2 linked regions of the Oryctolagus cuniculus genome follow. The protein of the gene in region 1 purifies or fractionates together with the protein of each later gene. This does not show direct contact. Links are inferred from orthologs where the notes say so. Each region holds a gene or a part of one and is shown on either strand. Other genes may lie near its edges. The genes, in order: NOP2 and RPL18A.

Evidence for each region.
Region 2: the proteins of NOP2 (region 1) and RPL18A purify together in Homo sapiens (affinity purification with mass spectrometry; 3 studies listed by BioGRID and IntAct, counting the BioPlex papers as one, with this or other methods). This does not show direct contact. The link is inferred for Oryctolagus cuniculus from reciprocal best matches to the Homo sapiens genes NOP2 and RPL18A.

The regions. Positions count from the first base shown.
Region 1 is NC_091440.1:102,934,547-102,938,999, reverse strand, and holds the start of NOP2 (28S rRNA (cytosine(4447)-C(5))-methyltransferase), read right to left. Parts: upstream 2,962-4,453; 5' UTR 2,816-2,961; exon of another isoform or gene 2,665-2,815; intron 2,582-2,664; 5' UTR 2,578-2,581; coding exon 2,472-2,577; intron 1,045-2,471; coding exon 999-1,044; intron 832-998; coding exon 743-831; intron 617-742; coding exon 372-616; intron 1-371. UniProt on the Homo sapiens protein: S-adenosyl-L-methionine-dependent methyltransferase that specifically methylates the C(5) position of cytosine 4447 in 28S rRNA. Required for efficient rRNA processing and 60S ribosomal subunit biogenesis.
Region 2 is NC_091447.1:65,465,160-65,468,691, forward strand, and holds RPL18A (large ribosomal subunit protein eL20), read left to right. Parts: upstream 1-1,265; 5' UTR 1,266-1,467; coding exon 1,468-1,485; intron 1,486-1,853; coding exon 1,854-2,033; intron 2,034-2,189; coding exon 2,190-2,319; intron 2,320-2,373; exon of another isoform or gene 2,374-2,504; intron 2,505-2,575; coding exon 2,576-2,778; 3' UTR 2,779-2,808; downstream 2,809-3,532.

The sequences.
Region 1 (4,453 bases):
ACACCTGGGAAGGCACTGGAGGATGGCCCAAGGGCTTGGGCCTCTGTACCCACATGGGAAACCCAGACAGAGTCCCAGGCTCCTGGCTTTGGCCTGGACCAGGCCTGGCTATTGCAGCCATTTGGGGAATGAACCAGCAAACAGAAGATCAATCTTTCTGTCTCCCCATCACACTCCCCCATGCTCTTTCAAATAAATCAATCTTTAAAAAAAAGAAAAAATTTGCAAGTGCACTGAGTGAGGAGGGAAAGCGGCAGGGAAACAGAGATGGAACAATCCCCTTCCTCAGTCAGGCGTACGCAGCCACAAGGGTCTACAAAGGAACTGAAAGGCAAGGATCCTTTACGAACACCCAGGGAGGCAACTCTCACCTCTTCATCTTCATCCTCTCCCTCGGAGCCGGAGTCGGCCCCGTAGTCGTCTATGACATCAGCATCACTGTCCTCTGAGTCCCAGAGGCCCCCCTGGTTCTCCACACCATCCTCTTCAGACTCTTCCTCCTCCTCTTCCTCATCGCTGCTGTGGGCTGGAGCTGGCCGCTTCTTGCCCCGAGCAGTGTCAAATGAAGGGGGGGCTCCCTTCTTAGCAGGAGTCTGCACGGCTCCTGCAGAGACCCCTGAGAGTTTGAAAGAACCTAAGACTCAGCCGCCTGCCCCACACCCCTGGGGCCTGCACTCGCTGCCCTTCGGAAATGCTCAGTGAGTTCCCTGGAACCCAGCCCCCACCTCCTGTGTTCACTGACCTTTGGGGAGCTTTCCGGGCAAGGACTTGGCCCCAGGAGGCTTATTTGTCTTGGGAGTTTCAGCAGAGCTCAACCTCCTCTTGGCTGCCCTGGAAAAACACAGCAGTGAGGTAGAAGGGACACACCTCCGGGCTCTGCCACATCCCCCAGGCGGAAACGCAGGAGTCCACGGTCAGCACTCTCCATTGACCCATCCCACCAGGCTTAAGACGAGCAGGACCCATTCAATCTTGGCAAATCTGGACCCCACACTTACCTCTTTCGGGCACGACTGGATAGTCTCTTGGAATTTTCGTCATCAGCTGAAATAAAAGAAGAGGCAGAAGAGATTATAGGAGAAGTGAAAACGAGAATTGGGAGCAGAAATAAAAGTGGGAAGAGAATTAGTATAGCCCTTAAAAACGAAGAGGTTGTTAACTTTTTTTTAGAAAGAATTTACTGTTTGAAAGGTGGAGTTACAGAGATTAAGAGAAAGAGACAATGTGCACGCAATTTTCTATCCACTGGTTCACTCCCCAAATGGCCACAATGGCCAGGGCTGGCCCAGACCAAAGCCAGGAGCTAGGACCTCCATCCAGGTTTCTCCGGTGAGTTACAGGGGCCCAAGCCTTTGGGCCACCTTCCACTGCTTTCTTAGGCACATTAGCAGGGAGCCGGACCGGAAGTGGAGCAGTTGGGTCTTGAAGTGGGATGCGCCGGTACAGCAAGCAGCAGCATCACCCACTGAGCCATAACAGCCCGGAGACTGAAGCTCTCACCACAGCTCCTCACTAGGGACTGAGCCCGGCACAGCTGCACTGCAGGCTGAGACGCTTGCACCCCACACTGGAGAGTCGGGGTTCAAGTCCTTGCTCTGCCCCCATCTAGGCTTCCTGCTAATGACACATCTAGAAGGCAGCAGGTCTCTGTCACCCATGTAGGAGACCTTGATTAAGTTCCTGGCTTCCAGCTTTGGCCTTAGCTGCAGCCACTGCAAGAATTTGGGGTGGGGGGTAAACCAGTAGGCAGAAGCAAGATCTCTCTCTGCTTCTCAAATATCTTTAAAAAGATGTAAGGAGACTGTTCAACAACTAAATCCAAAGTGGGCCTCCCCGCAGGCTTCAAGGAACAGCCTCATCACCAGTCTGACCACATGGATTCTCAAGTTTTCTTCCGCCCTTTCTTTCCCAAGTTCAATGCACTTCACTACTGCTGTTTTTCATGCATTCTCCAAGAAATAAAAGGTTTAAACATCACCCCAGTCATTTCATAACTGCAGGTGAGTCACTTAAAACTCTCAACATCCATCGCCTTCCCGGTGCCTCTCTTCCAGGACTTAGGAGGATGAAGCCCAGAGTTGCGCAGAGCACCTGGGACTTGCTAACAAGTCAATAAATCGCATCTTTCAGCCAATGCCCGACACCCGCTCCCCAGGCAGTCTCCCCCCCCACCTTCCTTTCTCAGCTCCATCCCTCCCACGGGGCAGCTCCGACTGGCCCGCCCCTTCCCCAACTTCCACTTGCTAATAGGTAACCTGCTTTCCAAAACCCAGATTCACGACAACTGTCACAACCCCTCGCTCGGCTACCCGAGTCCCCTCGCGTTCCACGCGCCCACGACAGCCTTTCGCTAGCACTCACCTCCCCGTCACTCACACACAGAGGGATCCACGGACGCTAAAACGGGGAAGCGGTTAACACGCAGAACGGCGAACAGACTAGACTGGGGGTTGGGGGGCCCACGCCCTTACCTGCAGGCAAGAAACGGAGGAGCTCCGTCTCCGCACCCTTCTGCTTTCGGGCCTTTCGGCCCGGCCCGCGCTTCGCCTTCTTTGTAGGGTCCAACTTGCGCCCCATGGTGCTGGAAAGAAGAGAAACGGGGAGGAGGTGGCGCTGCGAATATTGCAACGCGGATACGGGTTTCTATCCCGCTGGGAAACGTACCCCCGGCAGCCCGCTCGAGGCCGGCTAAGCCGCCCTGGCGTCCCGAGGGCCGGGGCCCGCGCTCCTCTCCCCACGCCCCGGTCCCGGTCCCGGTCGGCGGGCACCTGTTGCCTTCCGCCTCCCTCCAGGGCCACCCGCAGCCTCCGCTCACCCGAAAGCGGGCTCAGCGCGAGCACGGCGCTCCACGTGCACCCGGGGAACCCTCGCAGGCCTCGGTGCGCGGAAACGGCCCGCGCAGGCGCACGGGAAGCACCGCCCGCGGCCCCGCCTCTTCCGGTCCCTCCGGGCCCGGCCGCGCCGCCGGCTGAGGGCTGCCGGAGATGGAGGTACAACTGTTCTCGGCGTGCCTGACCGTCCCTCGCGGCCAGCTTCAGTCGGAAACGCTGGTGCGCGAATGCCGTCCCATGCTCTCGACTCCGGCACAACGGGTGCCCCAGGTCCCGCCTCCAGATAGTGAAATTCCCTGCCGCCTCTCCCGCATTCCCAAGCCTGTGGCTAGGAAACCCGCTTCCTGGGTGGCCCGAGCCCTGATCGCCCCGTCAGTCCACCCGACCCAGTGCCCATCCGGAGGGCGAGGGAGGCATCTTGCATCCTCGTCTCACACAGCTCAATCTCTGGGCTGCTATTATGGCTCATTGGGTCAAGCTGCAGCCTGTGCGCCGGCATCCCATGAGTTCCACTGCAAACCAGCACCGAGGTGCTGCTCAAACGTTCGGAACGGCTCCCCGCAAGCGCCTCGCCGGTTTTTGCTCGCCGCCCTACGAGGCGGCTGGTTTTTTTTTTTTTTTTTTTGACAGAGTGGACAGTGAGAGAGAGAGAAAGGTCTTCCTTTGCCGTTGGTTCACCCTCCAATGGCCGCCGCGGCCAGTGCGCTGCGGCCGGCGCACCGCGCTGATCCGATGGCAGGAGCCAGGTACTTATCCTGGTCTCCCATGGGGTGCAGGGCCCAAGCACTTGGGCCATCCTCCACTGCACTCCCGGGCCACAGCAGAGAGCTGGCCTGGAAGAGGGGCAACCGGGACAGAATCAGGCGCCCCGACCGGCAGTCTGAAGCCCGAAGTGGACTTCGGCGCAGCCACAGCGCCACCAGGCGGCGGTGCCGGGGACTGCGCGTCCGGAGGCACCCCGGGACGGTGCTGGGGGCTCCGGTCTCTTCTGGGAGGGGATGGGGGGATGGCTCGAAGCAGCCCTTAAATATCCGATGAGTTTCAGGGGGGCTCCTGCCTTTCACCTTCACCCAGCTGCGCCTACACCCACACTGAACCAGAGGACTAAAATACAAGGAAACTTTTATTTTCAATTTTGATCAAGAAATTTGTTGCGGTTTTTTATGCTTTTGGTTCTTTTTCCTTTTTTTTTTTTTCCACTTTATTTCACTCTAGCCGCACAGTGGCTGGAGCCGCTGGGTTCCTGGTATTAAAAAGATGCCAACAGAGGTAGCTGTGTCTCACCCAGGGGCCCGGCCCACTCTTGAATACCCCAAAAAGGAGAAAACACAAAATAAACCAGCAAAATAAAACCAAAAGGAGGAAGAAATTCAGATCATTTTCTTCAAGCCCGGCAGGAACCCACAACAGTTTGTGTGTAACAGACGTTACAGTGGGGGAAGCCAGGGTCCAGAAGGCCAGCCCGCCAGCTCCCTGCAGATGGCGCCGGCGCTACTGCTGCTGCTGCCCGAATCTCCAGCAGGAAGGGCACCACTGCCCCGCACTCCCTCCCCTCCCCAGTGCACGGGGGCTGTTCCTTTACAACATGGAAGATGGGCAGGAGGAAGGCGAGGGTCTCTCGG
Region 2 (3,532 bases), on another chromosome or scaffold:
CGCCCCTCCCCCAGGCCCCTCTCGCACCCTCTAGGGATGTGCAACCCAGGCCCCCGTGCCGGCCCTGCCCGGGGGAAACGGGCTCTGCTGCCACCTGGCGGCCGCTCGCGGTAACGCTCCGGGGGCGTGGCTCTCCGCCGACACCCGCCCGCCAATTCCCGCACAACAGGATTGCGGGGCTCCGGGAAGCCTGGAGCCAGCACTGGGGGGTCAGCTGCCACGGGGGAGACCCGGATGGAGCTCCTGGCTCCTGGCTTTGGCCTGGCCCAGGCCTGGCTGCTGTGAGCTCTTGGGGCGTGACCAGCAGGTGGAATCTCTCTCTCTCTAACTCTGCCTTTAAGTAAGTAAATAAATAAATTTTTTAGAAACCGTGGATTGCATTATTTAAAGGCGGGCCTTCTATGACGTGGAAATCAATTCTCAAGCTGCTCGGCGTTTGAGGATTTTTTAAAATTTATTTGGAAGGCGAGAGGCCGAGCAGCCGGTGCGTGGGGCGACGCGGGCGGATCCGGGACTCCAGGCCTGGGGGAGGGCTGGAGGCAGGCCGACACGGCTGCTCCCGGGCTGTGCACGGGTGGGCGGGAGGTCCTGGTCTGCGGGGGCGGCGTCTCTCCGCCCCCACCTCCGCTCCACGGGGGCCCTGGGCGAGGAGAAGCCGGGCGCCCCGTGGGGGCGGGGGGCGGCTCCCCTGCGGCCATGCCCTGTGGTCACGGTTAGGACCCCCCCCCCAACGCCATGGCCTGCGGTCAGGGTGAGGACCCCCGTGCGCGGGGAAAGGGTGCATGTGGCCGTCCGCTGAGGTCCCGGGGGCACAGCCCGGAGGTGGGGGCCTCCTGGGAGAGGTGGCGCCCCCCCCCTAAGCCGGGCCGCCGCCACCGCCCTGATGCACCTCACGGCCGGGGGACGGCGACCGCCCCCAGATTCGCCCCGGCAGATCTGAGCAGGCCCCCAGCTCCCGCGAGCAGACAGCCTCTCCCTGGGACAACCCTCCCCACCCCGTGGATACCCCTGCCCGCCGAGGCAGGGGCAAGGAAACCGGGGCAGCTGCTTCCACTCAGAATAAGCGTGGCTTGCTTGGTTAATAAAAACTTAACCCCTGGAAAAACATTTATGTGGAAGACAGAGACTGCTCCAGCTGCTCATTCACTCCCTACCAAAGCCGTCCGCTGCCTACAACTCCCGGCGTGCTCGGAAATCGGAAGCTCCGTTACGTCCGCGCCGGAATACGTGCGCATTGCCGCGCTACCTCCTGGGAAGTGTAGTCCGGCTGCGAAGAGAGGCGGGGTAGTGGGTGGCAGGCGGAACTGGAGCCAATGACAAAACAAGGCTCCGTGAGCGCCAGGACAAGGAACCAATGGGCGCGTCGCGGCGAGGCGGCGGGACTTCCGCCGGCGAACCCGTGGAGAGCGGCTGCGCGAAGGAAAGGACTTCCTTTTCGAGGGTGGCGGCCATCGCGGACGGAGCGCCATGAAGGCTTCGGGCACAGTAAGGCGGCCGCGGCGCGGCGTCGGGGCGGGGGGCGCGGCGCGGGCCCTGGTGGGGGGCGCGGGGAGCGGACGGGGCCCCGCAGCTGGAGCGCGCCGCCGCCCGGGACCCCGATGGCCGCGCTCGGGAGCGGCCAACATGGCGGCGGGCGCCGCGTGGGGAGCGGGTGCGGGCCGGGCGGGGCGCCGCGCGGGGTTGCGACCTCCTGCCCGGGACTGGGGGCTGGGGTGGTCGCGGGTGCCGCGTGGGGAGCGGGCCCGGGCGGGGCGCCGCGCCGCGCGATGTGGCGACCTCCTGCCCGGGGCTGGGGGCGGGCCGGGGATTGACGCGGGGGTCGCCGGCCCCGGCTGACGCGCGCGTCCCCGCAGCTGCGGGAGTACAAGGTGGTGGGCCGCTGCCTGCCCACGCCCAAGAGCCCCGCGCCGCCGCTCTACCGCATGCGCATCTTCGCGCCCAACCATGTGGTGGCCAAGTCGCGCTTCTGGTACTTCGTGTCGCAGCTGAAGAAGATGAAGAAGTCGTCGGGCGAGATCGTGTACTGCGGGCAGGTGCGCCGGGGGCCGGGCGGCGTGGCCGGGGGGCGGCGGGGGTGGGGACGGGCCGGGGCGGCGCGGGGGGCTCCGGGGGCGGCCGGGGCGGAGCGGGGGGTCCGGGGCGGGGCGGCGGGGGGCGGCCCGGACCCTCACCCGCCCGGCCGGCCGCAGGTGTTCGAGAAGTCGCCGCTGCGCGTGAAGAACTTCGGCATCTGGCTGCGCTACGACTCCCGCAGCGGCACGCACAACATGTACCGCGAGTACCGCGACCTCACCACGGCCGGCGCCGTCACGCAGTGCTGTAAGCGGGGACGGGGGGCGCGCGCGGGGAGGGGGGCGCGCGCGGGGAGGGGGGCGCGCACCCGAACCCCAGAGCCGCCGCGCGCCGTGGCCGCGGCTCCAAGCGGGGTGCGCACAGCAGCGGGGCCTCGTCGCCTCCGGGGGGCTGCGGGTGCCCCCGGGAGTGAATGCGGAGGCCGCACACGCGCGGCGGGGCGGGCGGGGGTGGTCCCTGCGGTGCCGGCCGCCCCGCCCTCACCGCCCCACCCGCCCCGCAGACCGCGACATGGGCGCCCGGCACCGCGCGCGCGCGCACTCGATCCAGGTGATGAAGGTGGAGGAGATGGCGGCGGCGCGCTGCCGGCGGCCGGCCGTGAAGCAGTTCCACGACTCGCGCATCCGCTTCCCGCTCCCGCACCGCGTGCTGCGGCGCCAGCACAAGCCGCGCTTCTCCGCCAAGAGGCCCAACACCTTCTTCTAGGCCCGCGCCCCAATAAACGCCCGCAACCTGGCCCGCCTCCGCCTCCGTGTGCGCCTGCGCCGTGCGGGGCTGGGGGGAGTCCAGGCGCCGAGCCGGGCGGGTCGGGGACATCGCGGGTGCCGCCCCCTGGGGCCTGAGGGGCTCGGACCGCGGGGGGCTGATGAGCCAGGAGCTCCATCCGGGTCTCCATGGGACCTGCGCCGTCATCCACTCGCCCAGGCCTCAGCCTGGCTCTTGGGACGCAACTTGGGGCCCCCGCAGTGTCCTGGGGAGGAGGTGGGCACCGAAGCCCGAGAGGCGCTGGGGGCACCAGACTCCGGGCAGCGCCTGCGCACCCGCCCTGAGCGCGGGGCGACCCAGTCCGAGGGTAGCTGGGGGTCCTCCCCCCTCACGTCCCGTGGAGTCGGGGTCTCGCTCTGCCCCGGCGGTGGGCCCGATGGCCTGCGCTCCTGCAGCCCCCGTGGGCCGTGAACACAACAGGAAGTCGGTGACCGCTCACCCTCTGGGCCTCAGGGGTGGCTCCGTGCCAAGCGGAGCTAGGGCGTCCGGGTGCGGTCCCTGCGCTCGGGGGGCGGGGCGGGGGTTTTCCCGGGAGCTGCGGGGCACAGGACGCAAACCAGAGTTTCCACCCCAGAGTTGGCACAGGGCTGGGGCCGGGGTCCCACGCGCCGCTGCCTCCGGCTGGGGGTGTCCTCTGGCCCCTTGAAGGGTGGGGGGGGGCCTGCGCTGGGCTTGCTTGACCCCCAAGATCGCG